3 linked regions of the Caenorhabditis elegans genome follow. The protein of the gene in region 3 interacts with the protein of the main gene of each other region in a pairwise test. Each region holds a gene or a part of one and is shown on either strand. Other genes may lie near its edges. The genes, in order: ape-1, dnc-5 and bicd-1.

Region 1 (5,405 bases), on a different chromosome or scaffold from region 3:
TCTCATGTGCCTTTTCATTCTGCGTATCTTCTCTCTAATGCACTCCCGTGCTCACCTTTTCCGTCCCTCCATTCCTGTACTCACATCGTTGACACGCCCGAACGGTCGAACGGTCCGTATGAGAAATTGGTTCAGCCAGCTTCCTTCTTTCTACCTTTTTTTTGTTTATTTTGGATAAGGAACTCTGAATTTTAATTTTTACTTAAAATATTTAAACGGCTTTCAATTTACTTTTAAGTTATTGACAAAGAAAAACAATCATTGAGCACATTTCCAATAGAAAGTGCACTCTTCTTGTTCCCACTTCAAACAATTGAAATGTGCGGGAGCAAAAGCTCCAATTCGCTTCTAGTTTTCTCCTTGTAGCGAACAAAACAATGATGTTCTTTTCATTTGGACAAACTTGATTTGTAATTTTATATAATCGATGCAATTAAAAAAAATTTTCTCTACCGCGAACCTATTTTAAAAACTCAAAATAAAATCCTGAATTAAAAGAACCGGAACATTTTTACTTTTTCCTTTTCGTTTCCTGATGACCATTCGAGTTTCGTTAGTGACAAGAGAAAGAATTTGTCGAAATTGAGTTTTCTCCTCTTCCTTCCACTCTTTTGTGCTTGTTCTGCTTCCGAAGCAGCCAATTCTCGACTGAATAGGCCACTTTCGGAATTATTTCAAGTGGACCTCTTCCTTCCTCTATTCATCATGCACTCTTCTACTTCTGCCCCCATTTTCGCTCAATTGTCAACGATTTGATCATCAGAAAAATAATTTTTCGCAACTTCACTTTTTACGGACCATAACTAGCAACCCACATTTACCGGTGTTCTTCTCCTATTTTTGGTCGTTAATCAACCGGTGATCCATTTCAAGGTTGATGTCCCCGATCTCTTTTTCAATGTCTGTGTATCTCTCATTCTACACCGAAAGCCGTTTTGGCATTGTGCCAAGTCTCTTTTTGAAGATATGTGGTACGAGACTGTGAGAAATAAGAAAAGTTTGTTGATAATAAACGAAGCGAATAGAGAGAGGCACAGAGGGACGACCCCAATATCTAAGAGGCCGTGTTTACTTTGGCTCGTCGTCATCTTTCGAACCAACACATGCATACGCTCCCTTGCGCGCGCGCTCCTCTGATCATTCAATCGCAGGTCCTCCTTCTCTTCGTTATTTTTGTTACGGCTCGTTCTTTTTTACGTTTTTAGCATGTGAGGCGTTTTATCAGCAAGTTTGAAGTTTCAGCAAAATTTCATATGTAAGTTATTAACACCTTATCACTGATTAAACGGTATTATTACGAAATGATAATAATTCGTAATTAGATACAGAAAACTATAATAACACGGCTACTTGATAATTTTCATTGTTATGTTTTTGGACTCTCTCCTGATTTTTCTGTTTCAATGGTTCAATTCCTCTTTGATCATTTTTAATGGCGGTGAAATATTATTTTTGTTCTATAATATCTTCAAACCACCGTGTTAATGTGAAAAATTAAAAGAAGTTTGTTTTTATTTTGAAAAATTGAAAATTGTCATAAATTTCACGAAAAAAAACGGTCGAAATTCTCATTTTGGAAATTCAAGCATGGAATTTAGCCAAAATTTAAAAATTCAATTTTTCGTTGTTCTTCGATTTTATTCGTTCTTCTTCTGTGGCATTTCTGAATTTTAGACAATTTTGGATTTTTTAAAGAAAAGTTCAGTATTACGATTCACGTTTGCTCTTTGTCATTTTCTCTCAATCCTTTCAAACAAAATTATACTAATCTTCCCTCCATTTTCAGATCTCAGTTCTCAACGAGATGGTCACGACCAGTAGCGGAGGGGGTATAGGGTACCCGGCAAACAACGGTGTCACACAGGTGAGAATCGAGATTAATTATTTTTCAAATTGTTACAAAAAGGGATTGATCTATTTTTGTAAATCTTATATTCACGTGATTCATGAAGTACGTGAACTGTGACGAAATCATAATTTGTTTAAAAAAAAATCTAAAAATAAAAATTTCAGTGTCGATAAAAATTTTTCAAAAAATATTTAAGGTCTACTGTTAGATTAGCAGATGTTTGACGATTATCCATTTTTCATATTCCAGGTGTCTCTGATTCACTCGTCGGATTCTGTACGAACTGTTTCAACTGCCCCAATATACCGTCCGACGTCATCAATGGCATCTACGATGGCTCATAAATCTTCGACGGCTCCGTTCATCTCCGCAAATCAACGAGTTAGTTTTTTTTGTTTGAAATGAAAAAATGCGGAACAAAATTTTCAAGAAACGGAAATGCTATTAAGATTTTATTAGAAAAAATTGAAAAAGAAAACTCGATAACGGAAATTCTTCATATAATTCAATTGGTTTCTCCCTTCATCTCAACAATCCGTTTGATGGATGATGGCTAGGTTCTGATAATTTGTAGTTTTTTTGCGGGGAGAGTAACGGAATTCTTTGAATTTTTGCATCTCACGCAATTGTATCATCACCTTCCCAAAAAAAGATAGTCAGAAAAGGAGAGAACACCTCAATAGCGTATCTTAGCGTAGAAAAAAGTCATCTAATTTTGATTTGAAGTGTCACGTTTTGTTTTTTTTTTTCTGCCGGGCCATAAGTCAGGTAGGCAGACATCAACGCATCACAATCGCCATAAAATAATGATAAAAATATTATATTTTAAGATAGGTCCTGGTTTGAATTGGTTAAGATTGTCGAAGATCAGAAACGGATAGGAATGCATCAGAGATTATTAGTCTCGCGTGATACCTTCAGATGGATCAAAATGACTTGCTTTTTTTAGTTGATCGAGATTGATTCGGAAAAATTTATACCAATCAAGTAAATTTTTGATGGAAATAAAATCAGTAAATTTTTGATTCAGTTCCAGAATACTCGGAATATGCCTACAAACTGAAATTTCCCAAAAGAAAAATAGAAAAAATTAAGAAAGATCAAAAATTCCAATTTTCAAAAACGCTCTTTTTCAATTTTTTCCCTATTTTAATTTCCTCCAAAAATAAAACTGCGATCAATCAGCATTTCGCTCCGCCCACTTTTTTACCAATCAGACGAAGACGCTGATTGGTTCGAAACTGGGTGTGGCTTCGAGATATGTAAATTCACACTTTTCAAAGTTGGAATTTTTGATCTTTAGTAATTTTTTCTTTTTTCTTTCGTGGTATTTCAGTAAATTGGAATTTTCAGAGTTTTCTAAAAATGTATCCCCATTTTTCGAAATCCTCCTTTAAGATTATCAAAAACATTTTCATAAAATAGTTTAGTCAATATAAAAATTCAAATTCCTGATGATAAATAGTCTTTCCATAGGTTCACGACCACTTTTAGTTTAAAAATTTCTCTTTTTTATCTTTCGGTACCTAATCACCACATATCATTGATAGTAGTGAGTGCTCTTCGTGGATCGGTCAATTGAAAGAAGATGCCAATTGGCGTTCTCCCCTTCTTACTTTTGCCCTCCACGAAATTGAAACAATTTTCTCATCATCTTCATTTTCTTCTTCTCTCGTAACAGAAAGTCTGACCTTTGAAGAGAGACACAGAAAGATAGACGAAGTATTCGTGTGCGTACGCCGTACGCGCCTTGCCGATTAACCTCGATTTATCATTCAAGCTTTCCCCTATATTGGATTCTCCGACTTATTTCTTCATTTTAATTCTCTTCTATTTTTATTTTCTTGACCCACTGGCCAAAAGCTCTTCGTGAATATTAAAAAGTAAAAAAAAGTTCCTCCTCTAGCGTACACGAATATTTTTTGTTGATAATAGACAACAACTGTTTTATTTTTGTTTAATTATTTTATCAAAAAAAATCTGTGGCTGTGAAGGAAAGATCGCCAAAAAAAAACTGGTCAGTCGATTAATTTTCGATTATAAATTTTGTTTTTTTTTTTCACTTTTCACTCACTTCCTTCTCATCGTTGCATAGTCTTGCGCACGTCGGCAACGCGTATTACAACTAAATTAATTGCGCAATTGTGTGAGTGAACGCGTGTGTGAGCGTACGCTTCTCTCGGCTTCTTCTCTTTCAATTCCATCATCTTTCTATGTTGTCGTCGTAGAGTCGCATAAAGTTATAGATGTTATTTTTTTTCTTGTAGTGTAATCGAGACTGTCGTCAAGTCATTATGCATAATGATATGTATTACGTGTTAAGCGTTATTATTCTACAATTGTAAAGTATTTTTTCATCTTCGCGAGGCTGTCGGTGACTGTTCAATGATTGTTGTTGTAGTATTTTATGACAGAAGATACTATTCTATGGTGGCAGCCACTACAAATAATGCCATACTCTTTAAAATATTCTTGAAAAAAAACTGATTAGAAATTTTGAGAATCGCTTCATTTAAGTAAAACATTTTTTTTTGATCGGTCAAAATGGGATACATGTTTGGTTCGCCGAAATTTTTCTTTACTCTCTTCCGGTGTTTAATGTTCATTTCTCTTCCGGTGGCCCGAAAGAGTTCTAAAGCTAAAATGTGACATGTGATATCATCATTTTGAAAACACTTGTTTTTTTTTATCTTCCGTTCGCCAACACGACTTTTTTCTTATTACCACATCTGATCCAATTGAAAGGGAAACCGATTTAAGTAATATAAAAGTCATCTCTTGCATAGGTTTGAAGTGTTGAAGTTTTGACATTTACTTTTTCATTCTGTAACTTTTCGTCGACCAGTTGAATCCTTTTTCTATTCCGTTAAATACATTCAGCTTAGTTTCATGCTTTTCAATACACCAACAACCATCAACACAATCGTTGTCCGAATCGCCTCAGTTTGGTATGCGATTTAATGCGAATTGTCGGTGACTGTCGTAGAAATTAAAATCAAAACAGATTTTCTTCTATTATTTTATGTTTGCTAAATTCCTCAATAGTTTGTTCAAAAGCGTCTTTCGTTTGTTTTGAATTAATTTTTAATTCACTCTTTCTTCTACTTCATTATTAATTTTGTGCGAGAAGTTCGTCAGATCATCATGAGGGCGCATAGACACAACATTTACGACATGTTTCACTTTCGGGATTTTCAATTGAACAGAACACCACCAGCACGAAGACAACGACAACGATCCACACTTTGTTCCAAAATACACGTTCCTTCCCATCGTAGGGCCTCCTGCTGAGCTTTTTATCCTATCAAAGAAGCTTCTTGTCGAAAAGGAGAATATATTTGAAATATTAATCTTTGTTTGAAATTATCAAATTGATAATTTAAATAGGTTCATGTTTCATAGACTAATTCAAATTTCATTCTATTTCTCTTTTTGCCTCATTTTTACTCTGAAACATTACCTAGTGTACAGTTACCAATAACTGATAGACTCTCTAAATCCAATAATTATCTCACGGGCTCTTTCTGATTCAGGGATATTAATTTCTGCACCTGTC
Region 2 (5,536 bases), on a different chromosome or scaffold from region 3:
TCACAAAAAAAGCTTTTTCAAAACGGAATAATATGTTTTAAAACGTTTTTTTAATGAAAAAAAAAAATTTTTAAACCACATTTTTCCGGAAAACCTTGAAAAGTGCATCCACTGTGAGTTTTTGTCAGTTGGAAATATTTGTAAAAAATATATCTAAAAAAAGAATATTGAAGAAATACTGGAAAAGTTGAGTAAAAATCGATTTTTCTGAATAAAAAACTTTTTTTTTCACAAAAAACAGCCTTATCAAATGGGAATAATATGCTTTAAAACAGTTTTTAATGAAAAAAACCATTTTTTCCGGTAAACTTTGAAAAGTTGATTAAAAATTAATAAATTGAGCATAAATTTTTAAAAAAAATGAGCATAAATTTTGAAAATCTCAAAAAATTGCTATTTTTTCCGAGAAAATGCATTTTTGACCGAAATTTTGGTACTTTTTTTGCAAAAAATATCAATTCTTTCGTTGAAAATAATTTATTCGAAAATTTGAATGAAAATTAAACTTTTTCACTAAAAAAAACTATATTTTTTGAATTTCGTAAATTTTTTAAAAAAATCGATTTTATTATTTTTTACTAACCAACTAATTTTTCCAACAAAAAAAATTTAATTTTCGATTTTTTCTGTAAAATTCCCAAAAATAATTGATTTTTTTTGAGAAAAATTTCAAAAATTCGGATTTTTATTCGAAAAATTAAAAAAAAAAGTTTTATTCAGAGCTTCGAATGAAATTTCTGAAATTTGTATTCCAGTTACCTCAACAAATTTTTAAAAATTTATATTTTTAATTTTTTGGCAATTTTTCAAAACTTTTTAAAACTCAAAAATATCCAAATTTTCAGTCGGAAAAAAATTGAAAATTTTATTTTTTTTTTGGAAATTTTTGAATTTTTATTCAGAATAAAGTCATAAATTCCCCCGAAATTTGAAAGTGAAAAAAATCAAAAAAAAAAAAATTAGATTTCGAATTTAAGAAATAAAAAAATTTCACTGAAAAACTATGGTTTTTGAAATAAATAAAGCACTATTTCTGAACAAGTTTTGAAAATTCAAAAAAAAATCGATTTTTACTAGCCAACTAATTTTTCCAAAAAAAAAATCTAATTTTTGATTTTTTTTTCTTTGAAATTCCCAAAAAAAAGTCAATTTTAAGTTTTATCCGGAAATTATATTTTTAATTTGTTTTTCTTCAAATTTGCAAAACTTTTTGAAACTCAAAAAATTGAAAATTGTTTTTTTTTTTGGAAACTTTTTAAAAAATTTTTATTCAGAATAAATTAAATTCTCCCGAAATTTAGTGAAAAAAAACTGTAGATTTCGAATTTAAATTAAATTTTAAAAAAATCGGTAGAATTCGAAAAAAAACAAATGTTTCCGATTTTTTCCAAAAAAAAATCTAATATTTGATTTTTTTTTTTGAAATTCCCAAAAAAGTCAATTTTAAGTTTTTGAGAAAAAATTGAAAAAAAATTTTATTCGGAAATTATATTTTTAATTTTTTTTTGGCAATTTTTCGAAACTTTTTGAAACACAAAAATAGCCAAGATTTCAGTCGGAAAAAATTGAAAAATGAAATTTTTTTTGGAAACTTTTTTAAATTTTAATTTAGAATCAATTAAATTCCCCCAAAATTTAGTGAAAAAATCACCAAAAAAACTATCAATTCCAAATTTTCAGTCGGAATTCTACCAAGTTTCACACACAAAGGCCGAATACATGGAGAGAGGACCATCGATTTGTCGTTACAATCCAGTTTTCGGAGCTCTTACTTAATTTTTTTTCTCCATTTTTTTGTATTTTTTCCCTATATATTTTCTCCAATTTTAATCCCTTCTCCACGTTTTTTTCTCTCTAATTCCCGAAATTTTTGAACACACATTTCACTTTTTTTCATCTTATTCTGGGCGATTCGTGTATGTACTTATTATTTTTATTTCCAAAAATTACCAATTTTTTAAAACCTTTTGAACGAAAAAATTCTCGAAGAAATTTGATTCCTGCGCCCCCAATTTTTTTTCTTAAATTGTGTTTTTTTGCATGACTATTGCTTTAATTTATTCCCCCGTTATATATAAATTCCCTTATTTTTGTAGTCTTTTTGGAGAAAAATTCCGCTCGATTTGAAAAAGTAGAACTCTTTTGTGATATTTTTGAATTTAAAAAAAAACTAGAAAAATTTCAGACGCTGATTTTCAGATGGATCTTCCAATTGTCTACTACGATGAGACGGAATGGGCGAAGACGCATACGGGAAATAAAGTGAATAAGAAGCATGCAATTGCTGGAACACAGAATATTTTAATTGCTGGAAAAGTGAGAATTTTTGGAAATTTTTAGAAAAAATTCAGTGTTTTCCAAGTATTTTGAAAAAAAAAAGAAATTAAAAAAATAGCGCAATATAATTTTTCTAGATTTTTGGAATAAGCTATACAAATTTTTTGGCAAATTCGGCAATTTGCCGGAATTTAAAATTTCTGGCATATTTGCCAAACCGGCAATTTGGAAAAAATTTAAATTTTCGGCAAATCGGCAAATTGGCAATTTACCAAAACTTAAAATTACCAACAGTTTGGCGAAAATTAAAATTTCTTGAAAATTCGGTAAACCGGCTGAAGATGAAAATTCCGGCAAATCAGTAATTTTCCGAAAATGAAAATTTCCGGCAAATCGGCAAGTGGGCCGGAATTGAGCATTTTAGGAATATTCGGCAAACCGGCAAATATGCCAAATATTCAAACTTCCGGCACACTGGCAATTTGCCAAAAATTAAAATTTCCGTAAATTTGCGAGAAAAAAAAATTTCCGGCAATTTTCCAAAAATTAAAATTTCCGACAGACCGGCAATTTTCCGAAAATGAAAATTTCCGGCAAACTTGACAAACCGGCAATTTGCCGGAATTTAAAAATTCCGGCAAATAGGCAATTTGACAAAAATTACAATTTTCGGCAAATCGGCAATTTTCCAAAAATGAAAGTATTCGGCAAACCGGCAATTTTCGAAAAATTGAAATTTTCCGGCAAATAAGCAATTTGTCAAAAATTGAAATTTTCGGCAAACGACAAACCGGCAATTTGTAAAAATTTAAAATTTCCGGCAAACCGGCAATTTCCCAAAAATTCTAATTTTTGGCAAATTCGGTAAACTGTCAAGTTGCCAAAATCTAAAATTTCCGGCAAATTCGGCAAACCGGCAATTTTGGTACACCGGCAATCTGCCAAAAATAAATAGCCGCCCACCCCTGATTTGAAACATCAAAAAAAGTGAAATTTTGCAGACAATAATCGAGGAAGGAGTGACAATTCGCGGTGATCTGGCGACAGTTAAAATTGGAAAATATTGTGTTCTAAAGTCTCGATGTAACATCCGTCCATGCATGAAAATATTCAGCAAAAAACCAACAATGTGCAACGTTATGATTGGTGATTATGTATTTATTGAAGAAGAATGTGTCGTCAATGCCGCTCAAATCTACGCATTTGTACATCTTGGAGCTCGTGCGGTGCTCGGAAATGGTTGTGTGATTCGAGAATGTTCGAGGGTTCTTCCGGATACTGTAGTTCCAGCGGACGCACTTTTTCCACCGTACTCAACGATCGGCGGGAATCCTGGTCAGTATGCCGTCGAAAAAGCGAAAATTTGAAATTTTCCTAATTTTTTTGAGAGCCGGAAAATCGAAAAACTGGAAAAAAAACGTTTTTAAAAGCACAAAAATTGCCTGTGATGATTGAAAAATTGGAATTTTGACGGAAAATCGAAAATTCCTAATTTTTCGAACTTTTTAAGTAGGAAAAATCGAAAAAACTGGAAAAATTGAGAAATTTCTTTCAAAAAACATTTTTAAAAAAACTGAAATTATTGAAAAATTGGAATTTTGGCGAAAAATCGAAAATTATCGATTTTTCTTATTTTTCTTATTTTTCTGAGCTCCCTAATTTTCAAAAAATGGTAGAATCGCTGTGTACTCCCCGAGGAGAAGTTTTAATTTTATTCTACAGTAAATTTTCAGTTTTTGACTCGATTTTTTTCATTTTTGGACCATTTTAGGCTTTTCAGTTTAAAAAAGGAAAATTAGAAAAAATTTAATGAAGATTCAATTTTTATTTTAAAAAAACACATTTCTTTGAAAAAAAATGGCCGGATATTATCGAAAATTTGAATTTTTTACCAAAAAATCTGAAATTTTTTTTTGGATTTTCTAGAAAATAAAACTTTCAGAAAAAAATGCAGATTTATCAGAAAGAATTTCTCAAAAATTTGAAAAAAATTTCCGAAAAATCGTACTAATCGAAAATTTAAAGTTTTTTTTTTAATTTTTAGAAAAAATTAAAATTTTCAATAATCTCCGGTAGTTTCTTAATTTTTTTTGGAAATAAATGTTCTTTAAATTTCTCGATTTTCAAAAAAAAAATTTTTTTTCCAAAATCGATCATTTTTGCTGAAAACTGATTTTTAAAATTTTGAAAAAAAAAACCTCCTCGAGGACTACACCGGCAGTTCTTCCATTCTCCAAGAAATTTTTGAGCCGCGAAAAGAAAATGAAATTTCCGGCGAATTCGGCAATTTTCCAAAAATTGCCGGAATTTTTCCAAAACAAAATCAACTCTTTTTCAGCTCAAGTGGTCGGCACTGAACCCCGTTGCACCGAGAACCTGATGATGGAGGCCATAACGATGTACTATGATAATTTCGTACCGAAACAACGAGCTATCGCATAATTTTATTGTAAATAAAACGGGATGATTTCAATAAATAATTCTTAACATTGGAGGGGCGAGCATGATCAACAATGAACAATATAAAGTGGCAACAATTTGATGGACATTTCCAAAACTTTGTTCATTAGCAGAATGTAGTTGTCGGTGGACTCCTGGAAATTTAATTTTAATTTTTTGAAAGGATTTTAATTTAAAATACTCAAAAACTAGTCCCAAATGCCAAAAAAGAAAAAAAAACGAAAAAATTCGGATTTTTTACGCCTAATTTGAATTCTCGCGCTTTTGTCTCTAAGTTCCGCCTATAAAAACCGTGCCGCACTCTGGTTTTTTCAATTTCGACACAGATTCCTGTTTTTTTTTTCTAATTTTCAATAATTGTTTAACATTGCTGACCGTATTCTTAATTGAAAATTAGAAAAAAAAACAGTGCGGCACGGTTTTATGGGCGGAGTTTAGAGACAAAAGCGCGGCGATTCAAGTAAAAAATTCAGGTAAATCGAGAAGTTTTCAATTTCTCGGAATAAACTCACATCAACACAAACTGTCACATAATACTCAAAAAATTGGAAAAAGCAAAAAACGGCACGAATGATATGCTGATTGGTGAATCTTTTGTGTAGCTCTTCGCGTATTTTACGGAAATATTGCATGCGAAGGTGGTTTTCAGTGAACTTTTTGACATCAATCATTATCCAATCGGCTTTATTTGGATCGTCGAACATTTTTCCGTACAGGTGGTCTAGATTTTGTTGGTTCTCGAGTTCAGCGAACATTTTCTGAAAAAAAAGAAACTGTATTTTATACGAAATTGTGTCAT
Region 3 (8,521 bases):
CCAAACATAAATCTCTATTTCTCGTTTCCAAGGGAGGACTTCTCCCTCTAAACTGGTTTCAAATTGCATCGGGGTGGACCTTTATGTTGGATATATTTTTATAAAGTTTTTGAAGATTTCGAAACCTTTTCCCTTCTTTCTTGATTGTTTTGTAAAGGATTTTTCTATCATAGAGCCGAGAAAATATCACATTAATTTTCTGTATTTTTGAATGAAGTCTATAAGACAAAGTTATAAATTTATAGAGATACTTTATGTATGTTTTTGAGATTTATTTTGTTACTAGATCTCAATTTTTCAATGGCATTTTAGTACTGTAGAGTGCAAGAGAAATCTAGCCTTATTCGAGAAATAAGTTTTTTACTGTTTATATTTTTTGATAAGTTTTTCAAAAATTTTGTTCGTTTAATGTACATCTTTTTTTTTAGTTCCAAGCGAAACACAATATTATTTTTCATACTGTAATACATATATTCGATTATTAATCAAAAATATTTTTTGTGTTGTTTAAAAAATTGTTTTTAAATTACAAGAAAAATTGCATGTCTGCAAAACTTTGATCGACTTCTGCAAATTTTTTAATAAGCTTCTACGAGTTTTACCCAACTGTTCTCTTGCATACGTAATTTAAATTTTTTCTCGTTTGATTTTTTTTTGTTATAATGACTAAAATGTTGTAACAAACCAATAAAAAAGAACACATAATAAAAATACCCAAAACAGAATTGGTTGGAAAAATATGCAATAGTTTGAAACATTACCCGAATTCTGAAAGGTTTTTAAAGTGAAGTAGCAAAATTTTTCAATTGATTGAAACATTAGAAAAGAGCCAAAACTTTCAAAAAATCTATACTTAGCGCTAAGACTGTCATTTTTTGTCGCAGCGTCTGGAAATGAATTGTTATAAAAGCATGATCAGTTATCACACTATTTTGTAGTATATTTTAAATTTATTGGAATACAAATGTTTCAAAATTTGAATGCCAGTAGAGTGCTTTAAACAATTCCGGAATAAAGACTCAAACTAGAAAATTAAGATGATAAATTGAAAAGTTGAAAAAAAGCCCGTTTCTAGATTTAGACTTTAGGAGAATGCGATTTTTAAAAATAATTTTCATCCGGCATAACTAAAAAATTTTCAAAATTTTCAAGAAATCACATTATGAAATTCGGCCATTTATGCTCATTTATAAACAATTGTAGTTAATTTTTGTACAATTTCTGTCGCTGAGTGCAAAAATAAGTAACCAAAGTCTTCAGAGCATTAAGGTAGTTTCGCCCAAAAATTTAAATTCTAGGTTTAAGCTTAAAACGAGAGCTATTCTTTGACAGTTATTACTCGCATGGTTAATATCAGTTCCTTGAAAATCAATCAATAACCCCAAAACCATATCATTTTATGTGACTAAACTTTCCTTCCAAAAAAAAAAGAAAAAAATGATCTGACTCATCAATTTCCGGTGATTTCCCCCGTCTTCCGTGCTCCACCCAGAACGGTTTGCGGAGGCATTAGAACAGTAGTCTCGCCCCGCATTTGTGTCGATTTTGGCTGCCGAGTGAACAAAAAAAACGAAACAGCACTCAATATTTGTGTCAGGTCAGCCACTCTTTCTTCCATTCTCTTCTATTTGTTTTTTGTTCATTTCTATTCCCTATTTCTCTCTATTCTCTTTAGTCCATTCTTCATTTCATAATTCTACTGAAACTAGTGTTACCTCTATCTCTAAACTCTCCTCTCAACCTGTACTATTTCTCTCGCGGGAGCCGAAAACGAAAACCTTATGAATATACAATTAGTTTTTCGACACCCTCTCCTAGTCGACAAAACGCAAATTTCCAAAATTGAACCTGTCGCACTAATATCTTGGAAATTTTGAAATTTACTTATTCCTGGTTTTGTTTAATTTTTGTTTTTAAAAGAAAATGTGGTCATTTGAGAACATTTTATTTAAATTTAAATTTTTAAATTTTTTCCTGTTTCAAATTGTAATTATTTCAACAATTTTTTAAAGGAATACTCAGTGAAGTATTTTTCCCCCTTTTTAAGTTATTTTCATGTTTGATATTTCCAACTCTCTAACATTTAAATTTCAGCAGCCACAATGGCTGAATCAGAATTGGAGAAGCTTCGTCAGGATATTGCAATCCTTACAGAAAAATATGAACAAGCCAAAGAAGATATTCATAAGGCAGCAAATGCGGGTTTAGAATTGCTCCGTCAAAAGGAAGATCTAGAGAAACGATTAGCAGAGATGCAGGCAGAATTGGATTTGGCAAGAACTGAAATTGATAAAACTAATCAGGTAAGTATTCGATTTCGAAAATAAAAATCGGAAAAAATATTGAAAAAAAATTAATGTTTCAAGTAAATGGTAAATATTCGAAATTTTTCGTACTATTTCATTTATTTTTAAAATATAAGCATGCAACTATCAAAAAAATTTTATTCAGACTTACGCAGGTAGGTAACAAAAATATAGGAAAATTTTTCACTTTTTTCGTTTTGTTGCAGTCATTCTTACCATTTTTTTTAAATATTTCATAAAATTTTGAACTGTAAAAATATAGAAAAATGAACAATCAACATTTTTGTCAGCTTACAATTTTTGATGAAGATGTATGAGCTGCCAAAATTGAGCTTAACAAAAGACTAGTAAAGTGTTAACAAAATTATTATTGAAGCTCAAGTTGTTCAAGTTGCTCTTATTTTCAGACTCTTGCTGAATACCGTTCCCAACATCAACGGTCCACTCGAAGTGAACTCGAAAATGAAGAATCTCTACTCGAGGAAAGTTCAGCAAAAGAAGAGGAATATCTACAGAGAATTGCAAAATTAGAAGCAGATCTTAAGAAAAAAGAACAAGAATTGGCAGAAAAGAAAGAAGAATTGGAAAGTATTGAAAAGAAACATTCGAAAGAAATCGATTCTGGAGCTGCATTAGAAGATGAAAGAAGAAAACTTAGAGCTGAATTAAAAGAAACAAAAGAAAGAGAACAAAGATTAATTTCTGAATATTCAGAGTTAGAAGAAGAAAATATTGGATTACAGAAGACTGTTGCAAATTTAAGAGGAAGTCAAGTGGAATATGAATCATTAAGAATTGATAATAATCGATTGGAAGAGACTATTGAAATTATGAAAATGGCTGCAGAGGAAGATGAAATATTAAGAGTTATTGCTGACAAACAGGTGAGACACTTTGAAAAATTACAACTCTCTCAGAAACTTTAACAAGTTTTCCTAAAAATATGTGAATAATTTCAAACATTTCCCTATTTGTTTGGAATTGCAACTGCAAAAACATTATGAAATTTTCATGTCTATTCACTATTTATTTTTGATCACGATTTGAATCGTAATAAATACAATACAATACAATACAAAATTTATTAGGTGATTGAAACAGTAAAAAAAACGAAAACTAGACAACTTTTATTTTAATTTTATAACCTGTTATTATTATTTTATAGCTCCCGTTTTTCATTGAAATTTTTGAACGGGTCGCCTCAATGTATATTTTCAAAACCTCAATTTTTGTATGAAAAACTTTCCAACTTATCATAAATATTTCAGCTCGAAGAAGCTCTGCTCACAGCTCAACAAGAACGGGATCAGCGATTGGCAATGAAAAGAGAATTAGAACAGACAAGAAATGCAGAGCATATCAGTAGTTTAAATGATATGCTTTTTGGATTGGAAAGGCTTGGGGAGGTTTGTTTTTTTTGTTAAAAAATTAAAACAATTAACTTTTAATAAAAGTTTGTTTTCCTATTTTAAAAGTTCCTGTGAAATTTTGTTAAAACACTTATATACAAAATGTCTTTTGTATACGTGAATTTTAAAAATACATTTGATAACTGATAATTTGAAACTAAACTTAACAAGTTGGGAAGAAAAAATTGCTCTTAAAGAAAAATGAGCTTCACATGTTTCGTATTCAATTTATATTGGCCAAGAGGAGTGTTGTAGGCTTGTTCTTTCGGTATCGATTTTTCTATTATTTAGTCAAATGTTATTTTAATATTTCTGTGTTCAAAAGGCGCATGAAATGGCAGAAACACTTGAATTAATTGTTGAATGAAAGTGTGGCACATGCTTTTAACGGACCACACGCTCAACACCAAACATTTTTGTATAAATCTTATGAAACAGTAATTTTTTAGGACGGCGAACTGCCACCTCCACAACCTGGAGCAAGTGACCTCTTCAGTGAATTACAAGGATCAAGTGATGTAAAAGTTCGTGAACTGGAAGCTGCAAAGGAAGGACTTCAAGAAGAATTAAAGAGCAGAGAGAAGATTTTCATCGAATTTGTAACCGGATTAGCAGACACCCTCAATATTCATAGACCAACAAGTGAGTTTAAATAGAACATTTCAGTTTGATTTGGAGTGTGATAAACCATTGAAGACATGGTGAAAAGTTATAACATTCAATTTTCACCAAATTTTTCAATGTTTCACATTCATTTCATATTGGTCAACGGTAGTATTGGAGTCTAGCGTAGATGTATGTAGTTTTTCAGAGTTTTCAGGGTTTTGGGTGAATAAAAGCTTCGCAAATTTCCTTTAAAATGAATATTTTATCATATTTACAATTAGTTATATTCAAAATTATTCAATTTTTAAAAAATTAGTTCCCCCGTGCATTCCCTAACAAAGTTTTCTTTACAGATGAGCTCGACTACATGCATGCTCGTCAACAAAAAGACGTTGTACTAGAGAAAATCCAGAACATTGCTCGTGACACTGACCGTCATGATAAAGAAGGAGAAGAAAAACGATCGGGAATTTTGAAGGCTGATTTGAGGACACTTGTATTGGTTGCTGGAGAGAAAAGTGCTCAGTTGGCAGCTGCTCAAGTTAGTTTTTGAATTAAATCATAAAAGTTTCATATTGCGAACCAAATTAAGAACATTATGAAAATGTAAATGTTGAAAATTCAGGACGCAATGATTCAAGTCTCCGATCAACTTTATCAATTCTACCATCAAATGACACAGAACCAAGGAGTTCAAACAGAAAAGAGTGTACAAGAGGTAAATTTTATTTTAATATTTATAGAAAATGAACAGAACTTTGTATATTTCAGATTGTGAAAAAGTTGCGTCTATTGGCTCGTGCCAATGCAGAAGACGTTCCACGTGTCTCGTTGGCAGATGAAGGAGTTGAAAGTGGAACAGAGACAGATGTTAATGCATCAAGATCAATTCCATTGAATTCCGATCGTCTTGTTATTGCGCCAAGTTTTGCGAAGGAAATTGAGAAAAAGTTGGCAAGTGTCAAGATTGGCGATGTGTTGTCAGAGACTGATTTGAGGCAAAGAATACTTACTGGTTTGTTTAGTTTTTGAATCGCAAAAAAGAGCTGGATACAAAACTTTTCCAAAAATGTACAAGTTTTAGAGAAGATGCTACAATTAAAAAAAACAACGAGATTTTACGAAAGACAAATAAAATTACTGTTTCAACCAACTTTTATCATAAATTGGGTTTATATTAGCTATTTGAGTCGAGGTTTCAACACTACATTGAATTTACTGTACTTACTGTATACTTAGTATACTTAGAATACTTACTGGTTTGTTTTTGAATCGAAAAATTCAAAAAAAGAGCTTTGCCAAAAGACAATTCTTCTTCAAATACTTCATTTGGTTGAAAATATTTGGAATGTCTAGCAATATTTAAATCGATTAATAGAAGCAGGAAAAATTTATTTTTTATTCGAATTAAATTTTTCAAGAATAATTATTAGTTTTAGAGAAGTTGCTGAAATAAAAAAAATTTTGGAAGATAAATAAAATTACTGTTTCAACCAACTTTTTTTTTCCATAAATTGGAATTCTATGAGCAGTATGTTTTTCAATATTGCATTGAATTTACTACTTTGTATCAAACATTCATTTAAGGTTTGATGGCGTTAAATTTAAAGAGTGATTAAGACTCTTGATATTAAACGTTACAACTTTCAATTTGCCAATATACATCTCATTCTCACATTCGAATATATTAAATACATTATTTTCAGAAGGAAATGCCATTTCCGAAACCACAGAATCGTTGAAAAAGATGATTCAAGTGGTGAAAAGAACCTCTGAACAAGCATTCAATCAAGCAGTTATGGCAAGTGGAGCTGAAAATGAAATTGAAATGCAGAATATGAAATTGCGAAGTCTTTTATCAACAAAACGAGATCAGATTTCAACGCTTCGAACTGTTTTGAAATCGAATAAGCTGACTGCTGAAAGTGCATTGACTTCAATGAGAGAAAAATATGAATCAGAAAAGAAAATGATGATGGAAATTAATGATAAAATGAGAAGAGAATTGAAACAATTGAAGGAAGATGCTGCCACGTTTGCATCTCATAGGGCAATGTTCACTGCAAGAGGAGAGGAACTCAAGTCAAAGGTATTTAGTTTTGTTTTGAAACAGTTAGGAATTTCTAATTTCGGGAAAAGTATAGCTTTTATAATATGACATACGGTAGCTCTGTTTAATTACTAATTCAAACATTTCCATTCCAGATTCCCTATTACAAAATAGATATACTTAAATTGTATCTGTAGTAGTTGAAACAGAAACTATTTTTAATATTTAAACTTTTTAGGGTTATTAACTTTTACTTTGAATTATTTTTCTCGTTGGAAAAAAAATCGTTTTCTCAAAATTTACAAATTTTTATTTGGAGTCAAGTTTCTGACCTGGCAGCTTAATGAAAATTTCTCAAGTTAGTTGCTTTCTCAACAGCTAAACGTTAACAGATATTGACTATAGTTTGACAGAAGTTGTCAAGTTTTTAAAGAAAGTTTCCCCCAAATGCCGAGTTGATAGATGCGATCATCTTCTAATTAAAACTTTCCGTAAATGAAATTACTGTTTCACAAAGGATTTATTTTGAATTGAACTTCATTTTAAGTTGATAGTCATAGGGGTATATCTAACCATTTTCTCACTTCTATTGTATCTGTAGCAGTTGAAACATACTTTTTTTTTAATTTTCATCTTCGTACAGTTTGTTTACTTTGAATTATTTTTAACATTTAAAACTCGATTTGTTTTTTACTTGAATTTAGTGTCTGAACTCTGAATTTGAAAAAAACATATGGTCAAAACGCAATATTTTATCACTTTAATCGTATCTGGAGTAGTATCTTCTGTAAATTTTAAAATCAAATTTAACAATTTTCCAGGTGGAAGAACTATCAAACGAGTTGCGTGCAAATGAAGAGGAAAAGAAGACATTAAATCAACTTCTTCGTTTAGCAATTCAACAGAAGCTCACATTGACTCAACGTTTAGAAGAGGTTGAAGTTGATCGGGATAGGCAGGTATTTAAGAGGAGTAGTACAAGAGCTCCAACTAGAGAGGTGAGATATTAAAGGTGTAGTATCGTCCAATGTGACGTCTTTAATGGAATCACTGATTAAAAACCATAAAAATTAAAACAGTCTTTTTTTTAAAAATTTTTTTAAAAATAACTTTTTTAAAGTTCTTTATGACCCATTTTCTCTAATTTGAAGAAAAATCTCAACAGACGATACTCCGCCTTTAATTATGTTCACTGTTTCAAAACATTCACAAAAAAATGTTGAAATTTCAAAAAGCAATGATTTTTTGATATACAGAACACATTGGAAGGCGGATTGTTTCTTTTGGGGAATTTTTTCGAAATTTATTTGATATGCCAAGAATAACAAAGAAAAAACGAAAAAAATTGGAAAATTTAGTTTAAAACGATAAAAAAAACCTTTTAACAAAGACACAAATCTTTCGCCAAACGTACAAAACTGCCTTTTTAATATGACAATCCAATCTTTTTAAATCTTCAATTGATTGGTATGGAAATGCAGAAAAAACTTTAATTTTGGTGAAAAGCTTGAAAAAATCTTGAAATAGTGCTCGAAAGTTGAAGTTTTGCCAAAAAACTTTACGCACTTTTAGCTACAAACGGCAATTTTCAAGCACTATGTTATGATTTTCTGGAAAAGTTTTCGACAAAATTAAACTTTTTCTTACTTTGAAAAATCCAAAAAAATTGTTTTTTTCTTCTAGAAGTTAATTTAATCTTCTCCGTTTTCAGACCTACCAGCCACCGAGAGCAGTTCGTTATCCGGGTTCAACAACAACAGCTCAACAGCCAGCACCTTCATCTTCGGGGGGCTCGAGGGGAGGGCCACGCAGGGGAGACAATCAGCAATAAGCTGGTGGTCAGGTGATGACGTGACAACGATGAGAAGACGACGAACACCTACACCAGAGGATCCAAATGATCAAGAATCAATTAATACACAAAACCACGTCATCACCACGTGGCCCTACGACCTGAAAAATGAAGAAGATCCCCAATTATTGATTGATTTAATGATGGAAGAGATGAGAGTTGAATCTGAAATTGAAAGAATGCGATTAGCACTTAAAGAACAAGAATCGATATTCGCTGATTGTCAATTTGTTATTGCTCTTTTCTCACTTCCACCAATTTTGATTTATCTGGCTGTTTCTGTTTTACTCTTCCCGCC

What was found.
Region 1: the proteins of bicd-1 (region 3) and ape-1 interact in a two-hybrid assay, tested with the Caenorhabditis elegans proteins (one large-scale study listed by BioGRID).
Region 2: the proteins of bicd-1 (region 3) and dnc-5 interact in a two-hybrid assay, tested with the Caenorhabditis elegans proteins (one large-scale study listed by BioGRID).

The regions. Positions count from the first base shown.
Region 1 is NC_003283.11:11,674,158-11,679,562, forward strand, and holds the start of ape-1 (Apoptotic enhancer 1 protein), read left to right. Parts: upstream 1-1,780; 5' UTR 1,781-1,804; coding exon 1,805-1,864; intron 1,865-2,098; coding exon 2,099-2,230; intron 2,231-3,837; exon of another isoform or gene 3,838-4,042; intron 4,043-5,405. UniProt on the Caenorhabditis elegans protein: Negetively regulates apoptosis via its interaction with cep-1.
Region 2 is NC_003279.8:2,880,104-2,885,639, reverse strand, and holds dnc-5 (Dynactin subunit 5), read left to right. Parts: upstream 1-2,185; 5' UTR 2,186-2,199; coding exon 2,200-2,316; intron 2,317-3,278; coding exon 3,279-3,612; intron 3,613-4,615; coding exon 4,616-4,719; 3' UTR 4,720-4,764; downstream 4,765-5,536. Other genes in the region: arx-1 (Actin-related protein 3), read left to right, coding at 1,681-1,776; Y71F9AL.8 (Myb_DNA-bind_3 domain-containing protein), read right to left, coding at 4,785-4,871, 5,250-5,495.
Region 3 is NC_003282.8:6,565,910-6,574,430, reverse strand, and holds the start of bicd-1 (Protein bicaudal D homolog), read left to right. Parts: upstream 1-2,094; 5' UTR 2,095-2,102; coding exon 2,103-2,303; intron 2,304-2,713; coding exon 2,714-3,190; intron 3,191-3,574; coding exon 3,575-3,712; intron 3,713-3,972; exon of another isoform or gene 3,973-3,993; intron 3,994-4,086; exon of another isoform or gene 4,087-4,107; intron 4,108-4,164; coding exon 4,165-4,357; intron 4,358-4,674; coding exon 4,675-4,862; exon of another isoform or gene 4,863-4,880; intron 4,881-4,946; coding exon 4,947-5,039; intron 5,040-5,092; coding exon 5,093-5,336; intron 5,337-5,505; exon of another isoform or gene 5,506-5,527; intron 5,528-6,027; coding exon 6,028-6,410; intron 6,411-6,513; exon of another isoform or gene 6,514-6,534; intron 6,535-6,917; exon of another isoform or gene 6,918-6,943; intron 6,944-7,192; coding exon 7,193-7,369; intron 7,370-7,609; exon of another isoform or gene 7,610-7,630; intron 7,631-8,082; coding exon 8,083-8,202; 3' UTR 8,203-8,521. UniProt on the Caenorhabditis elegans protein: Part of a complex with dlc-1 and egal-1, which is recruited to the nuclear envelope by unc-83, where in turn, it recruits dynein to the nuclear surface and regulates nuclear migration in hypodermal precursor cells.